Drosophila melanogaster: one gene and its partners. The protein of the gene in region 3 interacts with the protein of the main gene of each other region in a pairwise test. Each region holds a gene or a part of one and is shown on either strand. Other genes may lie near its edges. The genes, in order: fy, frtz and in.

What was found.
Region 1: the proteins of in (region 3) and fy interact in binary tests that used the Drosophila melanogaster proteins (3 or more experiments, as listed by UniProt).
Region 2: the proteins of in (region 3) and frtz interact in binary tests that used the Drosophila melanogaster proteins (3 or more experiments, as listed by UniProt).

What each region holds. Positions count from the first base shown.
Region 1 is NT_033779.5:8,400,862-8,404,882, forward strand, and holds fy (fuzzy), read right to left. Parts: upstream 2,420-4,021; 5' UTR 2,221-2,419; coding exon 2,143-2,220; intron 2,085-2,142; coding exon 970-2,084; intron 911-969; coding exon 853-910; 3' UTR 617-852; downstream 1-616. Other genes in the region: CG31898 (uncharacterized protein), read left to right, coding at 1-616; emb (embargoed), read left to right, coding at 3,427-4,021. UniProt on the Drosophila melanogaster protein: Plays a role in the organization of cell polarity via a planar cell polarity (PCP) cascade. Involved in the development of the hairs on the wings.
Region 2 is NT_033779.5:1,710,782-1,717,896, reverse strand, and holds frtz (fritz), read left to right. Parts: upstream 1-2,045; 5' UTR 2,046-2,340; coding exon 2,341-2,758; intron 2,759-3,423; coding exon 3,424-3,724; intron 3,725-3,779; coding exon 3,780-4,730; intron 4,731-4,788; coding exon 4,789-5,300; intron 5,301-5,354; coding exon 5,355-5,752; intron 5,753-5,809; coding exon 5,810-5,969; intron 5,970-6,029; coding exon 6,030-6,145; 3' UTR 6,146-6,595; downstream 6,596-7,115. Other genes in the region: Rim2 (replication in mitochondria 2), read left to right, coding at 1-19, 82-299, 668-794; mRpL48 (mitochondrial ribosomal protein L48), read right to left, coding at 6,612-7,046. UniProt on the Drosophila melanogaster protein: Probable effector of the planar cell polarity signaling pathway which regulates the septin cytoskeleton in both ciliogenesis and collective cell movements. Functions cell autonomously to regulate wing cell hair polarity and number.
Region 3 is NT_037436.4:20,365,353-20,370,879, reverse strand, and holds in (inturned), read right to left. Parts: upstream 3,683-5,527; 5' UTR 3,565-3,682; coding exon 955-3,564; 3' UTR 621-954; downstream 1-620. Other genes in the region: CG13247 (uncharacterized protein), read right to left, coding at 1-70, 131-368; Toll-9, read left to right, coding at 4,962-5,256. UniProt on the Drosophila melanogaster protein: Plays a role in the definition of cell polarity via the planar cell polarity (PCP) cascade. Acts downstream of fuz and accumulates asymmetrically in wing cells to regulate planar polarity in the wing. Probably acts by regulating ciliogenesis.

The DNA of each region.
Region 1 (4,021 bases), on a different chromosome or scaffold from region 3:
GACAAGCTCTTTATTCCAAAGTTCTTGGAAATCATTAATTAACCAAACCGCTTCCTGCAACGGGTCGTCAGAGAACATTGACTCTGATCCACCTACTCCTCAACGATTGCCAACGTCTTCATTCCAAACTTCTTGGAAATCGTTAAGTCAAAGCTCGCTGAATAAATCTAACTGCTCTGGATTGACCGAGGATAGCTATACCGAATCTTCTCCAGCTATTCAACTTGTTCCTAGTGAAAGTCCTAGGCAGTATCTGCCAAGTAGCCAAAATAGAGTCAATTTGAAGGCAAACCCTCGCTGTGTTAAAGGAGGCTATGCTGAGGAGTTCCGTAAAGTCCTCAAAAAAGTAAGAATGGATCAGCGTCAACTTAAAAACCATGCAGCCACTCACACGGCTAAAATTTTGTCTGTTACAAACCAGTATGGTGTTACCATTGCCCTAGTGGCTTCCGATAATGGACGTAGTTTCAATATTCTTCCTCCAAAAGGAGAAACCACACAACTTACAGTTGGATCTATAGTACAATTTTTTCTGGATCCAAGGATAAAGCCCTTAGAGCTAAACAAGAAACAACTGGTCTATTGTCGCCCATACAATGTTGTAATAAAAGGATAAGGACATATTGTATATTTAAAATATATAAATAGTATTTGTAAGGACGGAATTGTAAGTCATTAAAGCCATATTAGTATGTAGCATATACATATAAGATTTGTCAAAAATTACGCTTAACTTTAGAAAAGGAGTTGTACCCTATTGTTCGTTAAATATAATGTCATTTAAAAAAAAACATTATTTCATGGAAAAGTAGTAACAAAAATCAGTCTTTAGGCTTAGAAAGAAATATCGTATCACCAACATACTGACTTCTCCTGGAGTATATTAGCATGGATGCGTTGCGCAAGGAATCTGTAAATACAATACTGATTTTAAAACCTTGTCATCAAAGTAAATAATTATAATCGCACCTCATTGCGTGCGAGGGCACCGCTGCCACAAACAACAAGAATATGACATTGCCCAGCTCATCCATATGGGCATAGCACTTGTGGTAGTCCGAGCAGCTATATTGGTCCACTAACGTAGTTTTATTGCTGGACGACTGGGTTTCAAATTGGTGGACTGCATCCATAGTTTGATCGAAAAACTTCTTTAGAATGTCCAAGCGCTGTAGATCGCCCACAATGATGCGCTTGACACTCGCCGACTGGTTTAGATTTCTGGTAAAGAGACTTTTTCGCGTGTGTCGGTTAATTAGAATGATGGCCAGCACATTTCCATCGATCTCCAGATGCTCGGGCAGACTGCGCGGCACGCATCGCTCGGCGGCTGCCAAAAGGTTGCCTTCATTCCGGTAGGCACTCATGGCATGTGCATGCAACTCTCGGAACGAGGCATTCTCAGCGCCACACAGGACACACAGAGCACTGTTCGACGCCACAGGAATACTGACAAAGCGGTAGGCTATATGGGGACTTTTCACGGGCAAATAGACCGGCACATCGTGTTGCATTGTGCTCGACGAATTCAACAGAAACAGCAGCAGCTCGCGGTCCCGAGTGTCCAGATCCCACCAGCCCTCAGTGGCCACAGCGATACGGTGTCCCACAACCAGGCAGCAAAAGAGCGAGCCACAGTGGCCACTAAATTCATTTAGACACTGCAGCAGCTGGGCGTTTTCCGCCGCCAGCAGACAGTCCGTGTAGCCCAGGAGTTGTGTACCCGCACAGGCGGCTTCCAGAATAGCGTCAACAATCGGGACATACTTCTTGGCGTCCTTCTTCAGTCTATCGAGGAGCGTTGCATGTGCCATTTCTGCGGCCCGGGTAATGAACATGCCTATCGCTCCAAAGACAAGATCAGCCAGCGTCTGAAGCAGTTGCTCCGACCCAACACCGCAGCCGCACACGATCAGGGTGATGGATTCCCGGTCGCGCCATATGTAAGTCCACTCCTCGGCATCCGCGGGAGCCTGATTCTGGATAGGCTGCTGTTTGCTGGTCGTCGTGGCCTCCAGTTGGATTCCCAGCGACTTAAAGAACATGTGAAAGCCGTTTAAGGAGGCCACCGTCGAGAAGGGCAGCTGGATATGGAGAAAGGGTATTAACTAAGTGAATAGGTAGGCAATATGTTACTCTTACATTTTCGCATTCTCCCTTCTTTCGTGTAAACACTGGCAATCCGCCGTTTGTTGTCAAACATAACAAATAGATGGACATCGCAGCTCTTCTTCTTCGCCGAACCTGCTACGTATGATGCTTACATCGATTAAATCGATTCGTTTTGAATTATCGAAAATAAGCGATGCACTAGTAAATTAATATGATTTATTTTAAACTTTTATCTGAATTACTTGCATACTTTTAGTGTTTTAATGTAATAAATCAGTAAGATGCAGTATTTTGTAGCTGATTCAGGAGAACAGATCAAATTCAAATATATTTATGTCAATTTATGCATGCATGCATACTGGTTTGTTTTTCCATTAAATTAAACAGATAATATTTTTTTGTATTTTTTTTTAAAACATCGCTGCTTAAAACATCGATGTTTTTCGATATCAGGGACATCGATGTTTCTGGCAGTAAGTAAGCCAACAAACTAAGCATCTTCATCCATGCCATTTGATTATTTTATTCGATCAACGTTATCGATCACTTTGCGTGCATGCCTGTAGACCAGGGCTGTGGACGTATGTTTGTTCAGCACCATACGGGCACACTGTTCTCACAAATTGCATTTCGCATTGTCCGTCGTCGTCGTTTTCACACGCTGCTCTTTTCTGGAATCGGTAAAAGGTAAGCTTGATATGTGAATTACATGTTCATGATTGTTAATTAATTACACACTGCGTCCTCGCTGGCGCGTTTTGAAAAGCTAAGAAAATTTGGGAAATGCCGCCGCAGTCTTGTCGCATTTGCGGCGGCGATGCGTTCGCCTGTGCCAGTGTGTGCGTATGTGTGGTGTGCCGAGCGCTTGTATGTGTGCGAGTGCGAAAAAGTGTAGCGCGCGCAGGCAACAGCGTGCGCTTGTAGTTGTGTGTTCCAAAAAAATGAAACAAGAAAACAAAAAAGAAATATGGTTGCCTGTCGACAGGCGTAAAAGTACGCAATATGTATAACCAACGGTCTTATTTCCACAGCTTCAGGTCCAGTCCCGGCACCAGATCCAGATCCCGATCCAGATCGAGAGTCGCCGCTCCTCACCGTCATCATAGTGCGAAGAAGAAGAAGCTGAAGCAGAAGCCGCCGCGCACTTTCGATAAATAAAGTGGAAAAAAAAAACAGCAAAAACAAGAAATCCAAAGGGAAAAAACGTGAGATCCGAGCTCATCCGGCGGAGGAGGAAGCCAAGAAGCTATCAAAATTAACGCGGACACAACTGCAGAGCGACGCCGACGCGAACGCCGCTTCTACTACAAAGCGATGGCGACAATGTTGACATCGGACGAGGCGGGCAAGCTGCTCGACTTCTCCCAGAAGCTGGACATTAATCTGCTGGACAAGATCGTCGAGGTTGTGTACACAGCGCAGGGCGAGCAGTTGCGTCTAGCCCAGAGCATACTGACCACGCTGAAGGAGCATCCAGAGGCATGGACGCGGGTGGACAGCATATTGGAGTACTCACAGAACCAGCGGACCAAGTTTTATGCTCTGCAAATCCTCGAGGAGGTCATCAAAACGCGCTGGAAGGTCCTGCCGCGCAACCAGTGCGAGGGAATCAAGAAGTATGTGGTCAGTCTTATCATCAAGACCTCGTCGGATCCCATTGTTATGGAGCAGAACAAAGTGTATCTGAATAAGCTAAACATGATTCTGGTCCACATTCTAAAGCGCGAATGGCCACGCAACTGGGAGACATTCATCAGTGACATTGTCGGTGCGTCGAAAACGAACGAGAGCCTGTGCATGAACAACATGGTAATCCTGAAGAACCTTAGTGAGGAGGTGTTCGACTTTTCGCAGGGTCAGATCACGCAGACTAAGGCCAAGCACCTGAAAGACACCATGTGCTCGGAGT
Region 2 (7,115 bases), on a different chromosome or scaffold from region 3:
GTTTATCAAGTCCAAGTTGGTAAGTAGTTGAATTTAATGCGCACTAGTTTCCCTCCGACTTAAAATCGCTTTCACAAACAGCTAGAGCAGCGAAATCAGCGGCATACGGACACCAAGGGATCCCGCGACTTTCTGGAGTTCATGATGGCTGGCGCTGTTTCCAAAACCATCGCCTCCTGCATCGCCTATCCCCACGAAGTGGCACGCACTCGTCTGCGGGAGGAGGGCAACAAATACAACTCCTTCTGGCAGACCCTGCACACTGTTTGGAAGGAGGAGGGCAGAGCAGGACTCTACAGGTGGGTAAAATAGATGAGCAGAGTGAATTTTCAATTTGATACGACATTAAGGCAATCAACTTGTACTTAGGGATTCCCTTGTTCGTGTAGTTCCCTTGAATCCGTCTTGAAATAGAATCGAAGGGAATCCCACTTGCACTCCGACATGTATATAAGAAACATATACATATAAGCTAATGAATTATCATAATGTGCCACCCACGAATTCGTGAAATCTATTTAAATTCTTTTGCGTCGCATATTTTTTGTTTGTTTACCTTAATTTGATTATCACTCTCGAGCGTGCTCACTCGAGGTGTTTTATATATGAGAGCTCTACCTTAGCAAATTCTCCTACTAATTGTAAACTTTACCAACTATTTCCACAGAGGCTTGGCCACGCAGCTGGTGCGACAGATTCCCAACACGGCGATCATGATGGCCACCTATGAGGCGGTCGTCTATGTGCTCACGCGGCGCTTCAACAACAAATCGAACGAGTTCTACGACTTTTAGATGCCTTTCAAAGGACTGGAGAAGGAGTAACCCAATCTGTGCATATGTAGACGCGACTGCTGCAACTTTATGTAATTTTATCCCTCGTTTTTAAACGATCCAAACCAACGAGCGCAAATTCTTAGTTAACTAGCTTCTAAGTCAGATATGAAACGAACTCGATAGACTTAAGACGTTAGACGTTGAACGTTGGCCAACCAATCGAAAAAAAAAAAGAAGCAAACAAAGAAAAAACCAATAATGGGAAACACGCACCAGGATCGAAGTGCACCATCCACACCCTAAACCCACTTGCTGCATGCCACAGAAGGATGTGGTATGCCACCGCAGGGCGAAACGTTATCAAAATTTGAAAAGGCTGCTATTTAGTTAAAGTTACAATATATATTGAGTGTATAAATGTGGTTGATACTTGGATAATATAGTGTACATAGGACTCGATTCGCTCAGAGTGCATTGTAAATAGTTAAAGAGTGAGTTCGCTGGCGTAGTTTTCTTAGTTGTAAGCACAAAATGTTGAATCGGCCGCAGTTGCCAGTAGATGCCGCTAAATATATATATATATAGATATAAAGCCGACCGATCCGATTCGTAAACTGTAAAAGTTTCCGTTAAGTTTCCTCAAATGCGATATACGATTTAGTTATCATTACTCTACTATATTACTTTAACTATATTGATACAATTTTTGCTGTTTATTTAGTCCATTAGTTAGCTAGTTAGTTAGTTATCCCCCCCCCCTCCACGCAAAACGTATTTCACTGATAATGAGCAAAGAACTAAGGAAACCACTGTGAATAATTGATTGCAATCCGATTTGATGGTGAAATCAATAAATACAACAATTTTGTTTAAAAATAACCCACTCGTTTCCCATTTAATATATATGTACATTATCTTATCTTAACAATCGTCTGCAGTCGAACATAGTTCATCTTGGCTAACCAGACTGCCGCCCATAAAAGTGAGATGAGATAAGCCGATTTGGCCAAGATAATACGATTTCGCACAACTAAATTAAAGTGATTTATTGGCTAGCTACTACACTGCGAAAGTAGTGGTAGCTTATTGTAAATATTTTATTTTTCTGAATTTCAAAAATTTAGATCCTGGTTCGGGTACGTGCTAAAAACATAGCATAGCCTGGTTCACAACCTATGTGCTCCATCGAAGATCTCCACCACGTGAGCGATCGCAGTTGTAGTCCATCTATATCACGCCACCACCACGCTCAGCGACGTAACAAAGTGCCGTCTCTAGTAACGTAAGCAGTGTTTCGAGCAACAAGTTTATTTTATTTTCATAAACAAAGTTTGTTTAAAGCGAAAAATCCTGGCCAAAGTGCTAATTCGTTGGCTATTCCGCGAGCAACCTTGATAACGAGTCGCAGAGCAGTCATAGAGCAGCGCAATTAACCCCGATACAAAGCAATCAGTGCAATTGGAGCAGCTTGAAAGGCACACGCCAACAAATCGAGATCGAGCTGATCGAGTCGCGTTGACACCCATCATTCCGCCATGCAAATCGATGCACTGGAGGCCTGAATATGCTGCTCAGCGAGACCCATTTCTGGACCACGTTGCGCGAGGATGTGGTGCGGATCAAGAGCCAGGACCTGGGCGCCTTTCGCTACCTCAGGCAGCGCGACAAGGAGCAGGAGCAGCAGGACCTCGCCTGCCTGGCCAAGCGAGACTATACGGAGCGTCGCAATGGACTGGCCGTGCTGAAGAACTCTGGTCGCAAGTCCACCGGCCGCTTGAAGGACAACCTCAAGAAGCTGGAGGACCTGCTGCGCCAGCACAGGATCATCCACTCCGAGTGGCAGGACGCGGCGCAGGTGCTGCTCCTCTTCTCACACGGCCTGATCGCCCACATCTGCGTGGACATCTACACGGGCGACATTCTGCGCATGGTCTTCGAGAAGTACCTGGTGGGCAAGCTCGCCTCCGAGGTCATTACGGATGGTATGTGCGATTCTCTCCTTTCACCCGCTCCAGCCCGCCCTCCATCGCATTAGAGCCATCCATCAATCAGCTTGGGCATTGCATTTCTGCATGTGCAGCTCGACTGGCAGACATCTCAACTTGCAGCGTTCGAAAATCAGTTAATATGCGTTAACATCACGCAATACATAATGGCTATTTCAGGCGTAATTAAAGGTTCCTCATCATTAGAACGAATTACCAAGACAGCTTGCTAGAAACACATGCATGCCATTTAATTATTCACTAAGCTCTCAGCTATAAAAGCTGTCCTGCATTTAGTTCTTTGTGCTGTTTGCCGCTTGTCATCCAGGGTATCAGTCATTCGATAGAGTGCAGTCCGCATTTGGCCTTGCTCCGCGGAGTGCTGCTTGTGCAGTTATGGAGAAATTTGCATTGGCAACAAGTGCGACTTGATTTGCACTTTCCCACACCAACACAGCCGCACGCACACATGCAGGGCATGCAATTATTGTAATTTTTAATTAATCTGCTGGCTTGTTTTGTTGCCTGTAAATATGCGAACCCCCAACCCCTTTCCCCCATCCACCATCCTCCGGCTTTCCATGTTTTGTTCGAGCCACTCATTCAGCTTTGTCGCTTGTGTCTCTTTTCTCGTCGTGCGCCCGCATCCGTTGTCTCGCCAGCTTTTTTCACCCGTTCCCACATCGTCTTGGCCTACAATACCAACCAGCTGACGGTGGTGCATCTGCAGAGGCCTAATGCTCGCTCCCAGGGACCGGAGAAGATCGCCAATATGGATCCGCGCATCTTCCACGTGATCATACCGGGCGCCACAGAGCGCAAACTATCCCGCCACCTCACAGTTAACGCCAGCTTCGATCTGTTCGTGGTTTGGACGCAGTCCTCGCAGAACGAGGTGTATCCCTGGAGGCCAACGATAAGGGACCAAGATCGTGCCAACATACATGTGTTCAAGATCAAGGGGTAAGTTGCACAGTACAACTCCCACTCCATGGCCCAGTCTAATCGCTTTGCTCAGCTTGCAGCTGGAATCGATTGCCTATTGCTGGTCGGAGAACGATCCGCTGTGCGTGGACTTCCTGCGAAGCAGCGAGAGCCAGATCATCACCCTGGAGCAGAAGGTTTCCCGCAAGGGCGACATAAGCGCAGAAATCTGCTCCTACGAACTGGCCGCCGGCAAGATGCAGCGCACCGCCATTACCTCCATTCCAATGGGCGCCCAGATCTGCTCCTTTGCCTTCAGCCCCGACCAGGAGAAGCTCTTCCTGGGCAGCGTCGATCGCAATATCTGCCTGCACGACCTGGTCCAGCAGTCGACAAAGTACGCCAACCAGATTGAGATCGTGCCCAATCAGTGCGCCTGGCACTGCGACTCCGCCATGCTTTGCGTGGCCAACGAGCGATCGGTGCTGCAGTGCTTCGACCTGGCGCTGGCCACCATTGGCCATCAGCTGGTTAGCGAGAATGTGACGCCGTCCAGCTTGCTGGATCTGTCGCACTACTTCGTGGCCCAGCCAACGCTGCTGAGTGTCGCCTTCAGCCGAAAGCCAGATTTGTCCACTTTTAAGCACACCTACGCCCAGACGGATTGCCTGCTGCTGCTGGTGTACGAACAGGGACCTTTGGCCTGCATGCGCATCTTTGGCGGCACCGGAATGCGCGGCGACATCCACAATTCCGGACTCACTGCGGACGTCATTGCGGACAAGTATCTGCGGCTGCAGCAGCCGGACAGAGCGGTCAATGTCCTGGCCGCCCTCAACTGGGAGACCTACGGAGCCATGTGCCTGATTACGCTGCACAAGATAGCCAACTATGTGTTCTTCGGCGGTGACCAGCGACGACCTCGCATCGAGCTGATGGCCAGAGCGTTGAAGACATTCGCCCACACGCTTTCCGAGGAGACGAAGGACGAGTTCAGCGATCAGGTGTACGATCTGAAGCGCCGCTTCTGCTTCTATCTGCTGCGGTGAGTTGAGCTCGTGTGAACATGCCACTTTTATGCTCAATCCTTTCGTTGCTTGCAGCAAAAACCTCTTCGCTGAGGCCTTCGAAATCGCCCAGGATGTGGCCGACTATGACATCTTCATGGACCTGTACAACCTAACCAAGTGCATCTCAAGCCTGAGTGAGTTCGCCCAGGTGGCCTTCAGTCAGGCAGCTGCCATAATCCACGAGGAAGATCGCGCCAACGGCAATCTCAGCCTGACCTGTGACCTGCGCTCGGAGTCGGCCTGTTCGCTGTCCACCTGCTCGGACATGTTGCGCGGTCAGGGAGCAGGAACTGCCCCCGAAACCGGACTAGGCGCAAGTCAGCCACAAAGCCAGCAGGTCCTGAAGAACTATGTGCCACCGCTGCCCTCGTTCAAGTCGAAGGTATTCAACGCTGAGATGATCAAGATCAACATACCGAAACCGGAACTGAGGCCGCCCTTGCCGAAGGTTTCAATAGCGCCGCCAACATCTTCGCTGGCGAGTCTAACCCTGAAGTCCAACAGTAGTCTGCAGCAGGCGCCCGCAAAGAGTCTGCATCCAAATGGTTCGTGTGAAGAAAATTCCCTTCATAACTTAAATAATTTATCCATTATTTCAGGCAATTTGTGGTCCCAGGACGTGCCGGATCAGACGGTGGGTCTGCCTATGGCTAGTAGTCCACTTCCTCGTCTTCCGCCTTCAAACATTCCAGATCAGAGCGCCCAGCTGGGTCAGTTCAGCACGATGCCAGCTTCGCCTCCGCCGACAGGGTCCTATCAGCCCAAGTTTTATCAACATCCGCTTGTCTCTGGCAATATTCCCGCCATGCTGCCATCGCTCACCAGCGAGGACTACCAGAAGCGCCTGCTGCAAAAGAAACCCACCGCATCCATATTGTCCAACCCGGCGAATCCAGCACCCACCAACGGAGAAGCACCCGCCACGCCCGCAAAGTCACAAACGGCCGAAAAGAACAAAGTCAAGTTCTCGGATACAATTCAAGTGGCGGTGGTGCCAGTGAGTTAACAAATCAATCGATGATGTGACAGTTTACTAATGCTCTTACTCGAACAGGAAATTCCTCGCAAGGAAAAGCCAATGCCACCCAAGAGAAATGGTTACTCCAGGCCCGCTGCGCGACATCTGACAAATCCTAAAAAGGAGCTCGCAGACAGCCTGCCGCTCTGTCATCCGAACGACGAGTATCTAAAGGATTTCAACCCCATTACGACCAGTGGGTATTTGTTGAGTTCACCAATAACCTTGCCCCATTGACCGTGTCATTTCTTCGCAGATGTGACTAAGCCGCCCATCCGACGACGCGAGGAAGAACCCAAGAGCAGCAGCAAGGGCGGCAACTCCTCCTCCTCCTCGTCGTCCATCAAGGTGGTCCACTTCGGCGTGGTCTAATAATTCATAGTGCAATTCCCAGGCGTACACCACACAACGGTTAAGCGCTGCGTCTTCCAATCGTTTGTAACTATTGTAGTAGGCTGCTCCTTCTACCCTCTTCCTTTACTCTTAGTCATACATACCTAATTATACATAGCCAATCTAGTCATAAGCTTATACACTCATACACCCATCCTTAACATACAAATATTATCGAGAAACTTATCGACTAATCGACTCGCCACTCTGCAGAGAGCGCGGCAGTCAGTCGCTGTTGAACCAAGCTAAAGGACAGATCAAAAATAAAAGAGACACGTGAAATTGTATTAGAATATTAACTTCTGTAAACGGCGGCTAAACTATTGCCGTCCCAGTTAGTGCAAAGCTTTAAATAGGAAAGTTTTACTCATAGGTTCTCTATACTCTTTACACAGGTTACTCATTAAAGCTAAGCATTAAATGTTTGCCAAATCGGAGGCGCCGCCTACTTCTTCCTGGTGGTGGTGGGTCCGCCCATGCGCTCCAGCTCGTCCTTCAGGTCGAGCAGCTCCTTGTCGGGCACGTAGCGCCGCTCCTCGCAGTCGTCGGTGTACTCCTGCACCTGCAAGCTCACACCCTCGGGCAGCGCCGCCTGGGCCAGGCGCAAGAACTGCGGATAGACTGGCGCATCCACATTGTTCAGCTGCAGGTTGCGCTCGTAGGTGGTCAGCTTGTACTCCGATTCGATGACCGTGGAGTTGGGCCGCAGTCGCTGCACCGTGGTCTTTTGCGGAGGGAGGGCGTAGCAGTCGGAGACGTCCAAGTCCAGGTACTCGGCCAATCCGTGCAGAAACCTCTGGTAGCTCTCCAGCTGCGGGTAGTCGTAGCCCTTGATCTGCACATTCAGGCTCTCGTACTGCGGGAATTTCGGCTTGAGGGACTGCAAACGGAGAACAATGGTTACTGACCACCAAAATAATTGCTCATCTAGTCTGATCTGATTGAAATC
Region 3 (5,527 bases):
ATCAGTTTCATTACACGAAGCTCTTCGTAGAGCTTGTTCTCCAGACTTCGGAAGGCCATGTTCATTTCATCTGCACACAAAGCATAAATAGTTTCAAGATCAAACGGGCAAGAGACCACTGACCACCCACCTGATCCACACACTCCCTTAAGGGTTTTTGTGGTGACAGCCTCGGCAGATGCCTTCACCTCCCCCGCAGTCACAGTGCAAACAGCTTTCTGCACTTCGCTGGGCAGTTTTGGAGCAGCTTCTGTATCCAAGGGATTCCCGGTGACGTTGAACAGTCCACTGCCCGATTCCTCCTCCGTCGCCATCGCCGTGGAGCAGAGAACAAGACACAGCATCCACGTAGCTGTCATCATATCCATCCACCAAGAATCCTCTTCTGTTGAAACACCCAAACACAACTGTCGACGAATCTTGGGAAATTGGCAATTTGGGGAGCACCACCTTGAGCCACTCGTTCACGTGGATTTATTGGTCGGCGTGTCTTTTGACTTCTGGTGCGTGGAACTACTTTTAGAATGGGACCCTCCCACCAAACTCTAAAAATAGTGTACACTTTTGATGGCTTCTCTAGTACGAACTATGAATGAATGAAACACATTCGCACGATGTTTGTGTTCCTCTTGAAATACCTTCATACATACATATTTATTCGCTGCGTTTCAGAGGAAATGTACATATTTTTCAATTTCTTAGAGTTTTGGCAAGCTTGCGCTTTTCGAATTTTGAAAATACAAAATTGCACTTCCCCTAAATCAAATGCTTTCGTAATAGAATTGCTGAAAATGATTAATTATGCATTCTTAAATATAATTTTAAAAAATTGTTTGAATGCCTATATAAAAGTAATTTGTTTAGTTAAAACCACATTTTAAATATTTGTGTTTATATTATAGCAAGAATTCTACGCATAGCCAGTATCTAAGTTGGTAGTATCCTTCCAAGATGTCATCCCATTGAGAAGAAGGACAACCGGAAGGCCATTTCGACTATGTTCTGGGGAACATCGGACCGGTGACACACGTACACTTCCTTGGCTGGCGACTGAAAGAGACGACCAACCACCACGAAGCGACTGCTCGTCGAGGATTGGGATTGCCCGTCCGACTTGGGTTGCGTGCTGACCTCCAGGATCATGCCGTGCTCCTTGACCAGCGACACTGTGTGGCTACTGTGCCCGTTCGAGTTCGTCTGTGCTCTCGAGGATTCCGATAGATGCCTGCGATAGTGCTTGGATTTCTGCAGCACGGCGTGGATTATGTGACACGCCTGACGAATCTCGGAGAGGTAGTTGGAGTTCTCGGAGCTGTCGGTAAATGGCGCAAACAAGGACCCATTGGCTATGTCAATGTAGACGTAGTGCAGAACGGAATTCTTCCAGCCAGCGGATATCTTGACCGGCACCACGTTGTTGATCTCCTTCCACATGGACTCTGTCATTTGGCTCTGACTGTGGCTCTCGGCCCCGAGATTCAGTCCATAGTGAAGTGGATGCTGTACGGCGAAGTTCTCCCAGTCGGAACCGCTGTCTGAGTCCTCGGCAGTACCATGGATGGGGGTCAATCGCCTGCGACAGGACTCGTCCTCACTGGGAGTCAGACTATGTATGGAAGACCCACCCAGGGACGAGCACAGTTGGGCTTCCTCCTCCACCGAAGGACTCAGCACGGTTAGCTTCTGCTTGAGGAAGGACTCCAGTCGGTTGTTCGGCTCCTTCTCCTGATCTCTACTCTCGCTGGCAGTGGCGTCCAGCACCTCGGGTCTCTTATTGGAAACGGACCAGAACATGGCCAGGGATTCAATGCCGCACTGTACTAGGTGGTCCAGCGTCTCTTGAATCTCCTCGATGTAAAAGAGCGATGGACCCACCACCGCATCCGGCGCCATGTCTGGAGCATCGAAGATCTTCAAGATCACGGCCAGACTCAAGTGGTTCTTGGTGCAGATGGTAAGGAAATATCGCCCTGTGGCACTGGGCAACACTATCTCCTCCCACACGTACATCTCGCGAACTTTGATTCCCGGAGCAGCTCCGAGCAACTCGAAGATTCCGCGGCAGCGCAGGAATCCTTCTACACTCACCCTCACTTCCGGTGGCAGCAGGCTGGCCACCAGGAAGCCATCGTAGTACAGCGCACTGCCGTAGATGAAGAACTCGCGATGGGTGGTGAGTGGCTCGTCGTTCCAGTTGCGATAGTCCATGGCCTCCATTTCACTCAGAGCATCAAAGATGCGCAGCTGCGCTTCCTTTGGCAGTGGCAGGCTGCGGGATTGGCCCAGGAGCTCCTCGAAACGAATATGACCATGGCATCTGGCTACGAGCCGGGTTCTCTGGATTTCGCAAAAGTGTCGAAGGAACAGCTTCAGTCTCGAACTATTCCCCGGCTCTCTCTCCTGATTAAAGCTCTCCAGGACCAAGCCCGGCAGAGAGAAGCGTATGTATCCGATTAGCTCATCCGATCGCAGGCTGCACTCCGCCGCACAGCAGAGTCCTCCGGCGTAGGCGAAGAGGACTAGGAACCCATTCAGTTGGCGGTAGTTGACGTGGTATTGCACCTGATCCACCAGCAGCCTTGAACTCAGCGGCTGGGTGTGCAGTTCACTGAGTACGGCGTGCAGGGTGAGGAAACTCCCACGGGCCTTGAATAGGAAGTTGTCGGGGATTTCCGGAAAGTAGTAGAGGGAATCCTGTTGCTGTTCATGCTGATAGCACTCCGGTGGGAGTAGCAGCATAGCAAAGGGCATTCTTATGTCCACGGAACTACCGGGAATACCGAAGTTCCCCTCCGTTATCAACATCTGCTCAAACTTCTCCGTGAACATGGGAAAGTTCTCCACCTTGCACACCTGCTCCTCGCGGACATTTCGATTATACCCCGGATCGGTGGGCGAAACTGCACTGGCCGCACCGCACGACTGGAAGCCTAGGCACACCTGAGTGGGCTCCACGAACTGCTTGAGCAACTCATCCACATTGCTGGCGTACACCTCTATGCCATTCAGGGATCTAAACCAATCTCCCCGCTTGATGCCGTGCTGCAGCGCACTCACATCGTGAACGAACCCATCGACCATCAGGCATTCTGGTTGGTCCGGAAAGGGCAGGACCCGGAAGCCCAGTATGGACTCCACCGCCGTGGATCGTCGTCCGAAACGGAAGCGATCAGCGGCTGTGATCACCAGATCCAGTTTCTTGGGATCGGGGGCAGCCGTCTTGAACTGTGAGAAGCGGAACTCTTGCGGCTCCGTCTGGCTATCCAACCTGCTCGGGCCGTGGGACTGGTTTTGGTTCTGACTCTGATTCTGATTATTGCTGTGCGGCTGGCGACGCGACGACTTCTTTCCCAGGCGCAGCGATCGACGCATGAACTCCACCCGCCGCTCTGCCGAGACGCCAGTCTTCTCACATCGCACATACTCCATGTAGAAGAGACTGCCGTCTGTGGACACGTACTCCTCCCAGTTGGCCAGGTCGCTGCCATCGCTGTACGAGTTGCTCAGCGAGGAGTTCGAACTGGAGAAGGCCTCCGACGGCAGGCTGGCCGGCGATTTGCGCATAGTTTACCGGGGATAGTTAACTGGGCGGATAGTTATTAGTGGCCTACTATTCCAGGTACACACTCAACTATCTGCCGCCGGTTGATACCGCCTCAGCTCAGCTCTGAATGTCGACTGAAAGCCGAGATCCGATCTCAGCACTCAAAACCAGTTTCTAATTGAGCTCTGGCTCCGACCAGCTCAATACCACTCCACTCAAATTCCAGCGGGAAACGATCCACTCCCTTTGTGATCTGGTTCTCTTTCAAGCTGGGGAAACTCAAAACCCACCGTGGGTTAAGACAAGTATAGTTACCATAATACAATAACCAATTTCTTTTCTTTTTATAAGTGTTCGCATTTAACGATTGGACTGCTAACCAGTTGATTTCAGCGTGATATTAAGTTATAAATAATAATCATGGAAAATCCTTATAAAAATAGAGCTCCGTCTGCGATATGCTGACTCTGCACAAAGTCGCATTGAAGATTTGGTGGAACTTAAAGCAAAATTGGTGTGCTATCATAAGGATTGTGTTAATCAGCGGAAGATTAGTAAAATGTTGCTTCCTCAATGGGTATCCGATGATCATTTGTCATAGGAGACTACCGCTGAAGTCCTATCTCCCAATAAATTATTTTACGGCCAATAAACTGTGTATGCATGATATGAAGGGAATTGATATAATTAATTGGGCATTTGTGGACCCGGGTGTTTTAGTGGCCACCTTTTCGTATCGCCGATGGTCTGATAATCTAAGATTTTCCAAGTGATTTTTTTCATATCGGTCTCCGGACTGGACGCCGTAAATCAAAACTTTTCTATCTGCAAACAATCGAGTAGTATAGAAAATTGTGTCTCACTGAACTCACTATGTGCTGGCCAAAAGCGAGCCGTGGCTATATCGGTTGATCCGGAGCACCGATCCCATTGAAGTACGGGCCTAATAGCCGTACTCCGACGTCCAGATAATTATCCGATAAGGAACATGGCGTGGGCGTGAAGCGGGACGCCCAGTGCCACCGAAAAAGCGATACGCTGATAGTCCCGGGCCATTCAAGGGAAGATATTGCCAAAATTGATAAGCCGTATCATGGCAGAATTAGCCGCACATGTGTACCGCAGCTACCTATTATTTCTGCTGACCATCGGAGCAAGCTGAGTCCTCCAGCCAGTCCATTGCGCGAATCCAAGGCGTGTGCTTCGCCCAGCCGCAAATAAAGTGATTTGCGGGAAATGTCGGCCGCGGTTAACTATCACAAAATGTGGCTTAGATTTCGGAATACCCAGTGAAACTGAATGAGTGGCTAAAAATTGTATAGAACGCGATTATCTGTGTGATTGTGAAATCAAACAGCTGTCAAATCTTATTTATAATCCCCCATTACAAGCACTATAGGTGCGCAATTCAGTGAATATGTGTCCAAAATATATATGGGATGTGATCGTATTAGTATGCCTGTTCCTTGGAAACGTAAGGGAAGCATACACCGAGTTTTCGATCCAGGATGGCTTGATAATAGAACCAGATTCAGCCACAACATCCAGCGAAGAGGCCGAAGAGGTCAGCAAGGAGAGAACGGACCTCAAATCCCTCATGTTGAAGTACGAATCGGATGATGGGAACAGTTGTCTGCTGGATCTGATCAAGGACGAGGTGATATGGTGGCAGTTTCCCAACGGAACCCTCAGGGACAGCACAAAGAAATACGGTAAACCTATCCAATAAAGTCCAATAAAAATCCCTGCCCAAGTCTCAGTTTGATTGGGCATTGTTAACAGCTCTCGAAACTATATACATATACTTTCACGCTTCCGGCAACGCGGATCGACTGCTTATAGAAGGTCTTTGATGTTAGCCTAATCCCACCAGAATCGGTAACATTATTATGGAACCCCTTATCAGTGAAAGCTCTGCATTACTACACCCAGAGAAATTTAAAAAAATACCGATATCGGTTGTGTTCAGCGTACTCAGTGGCA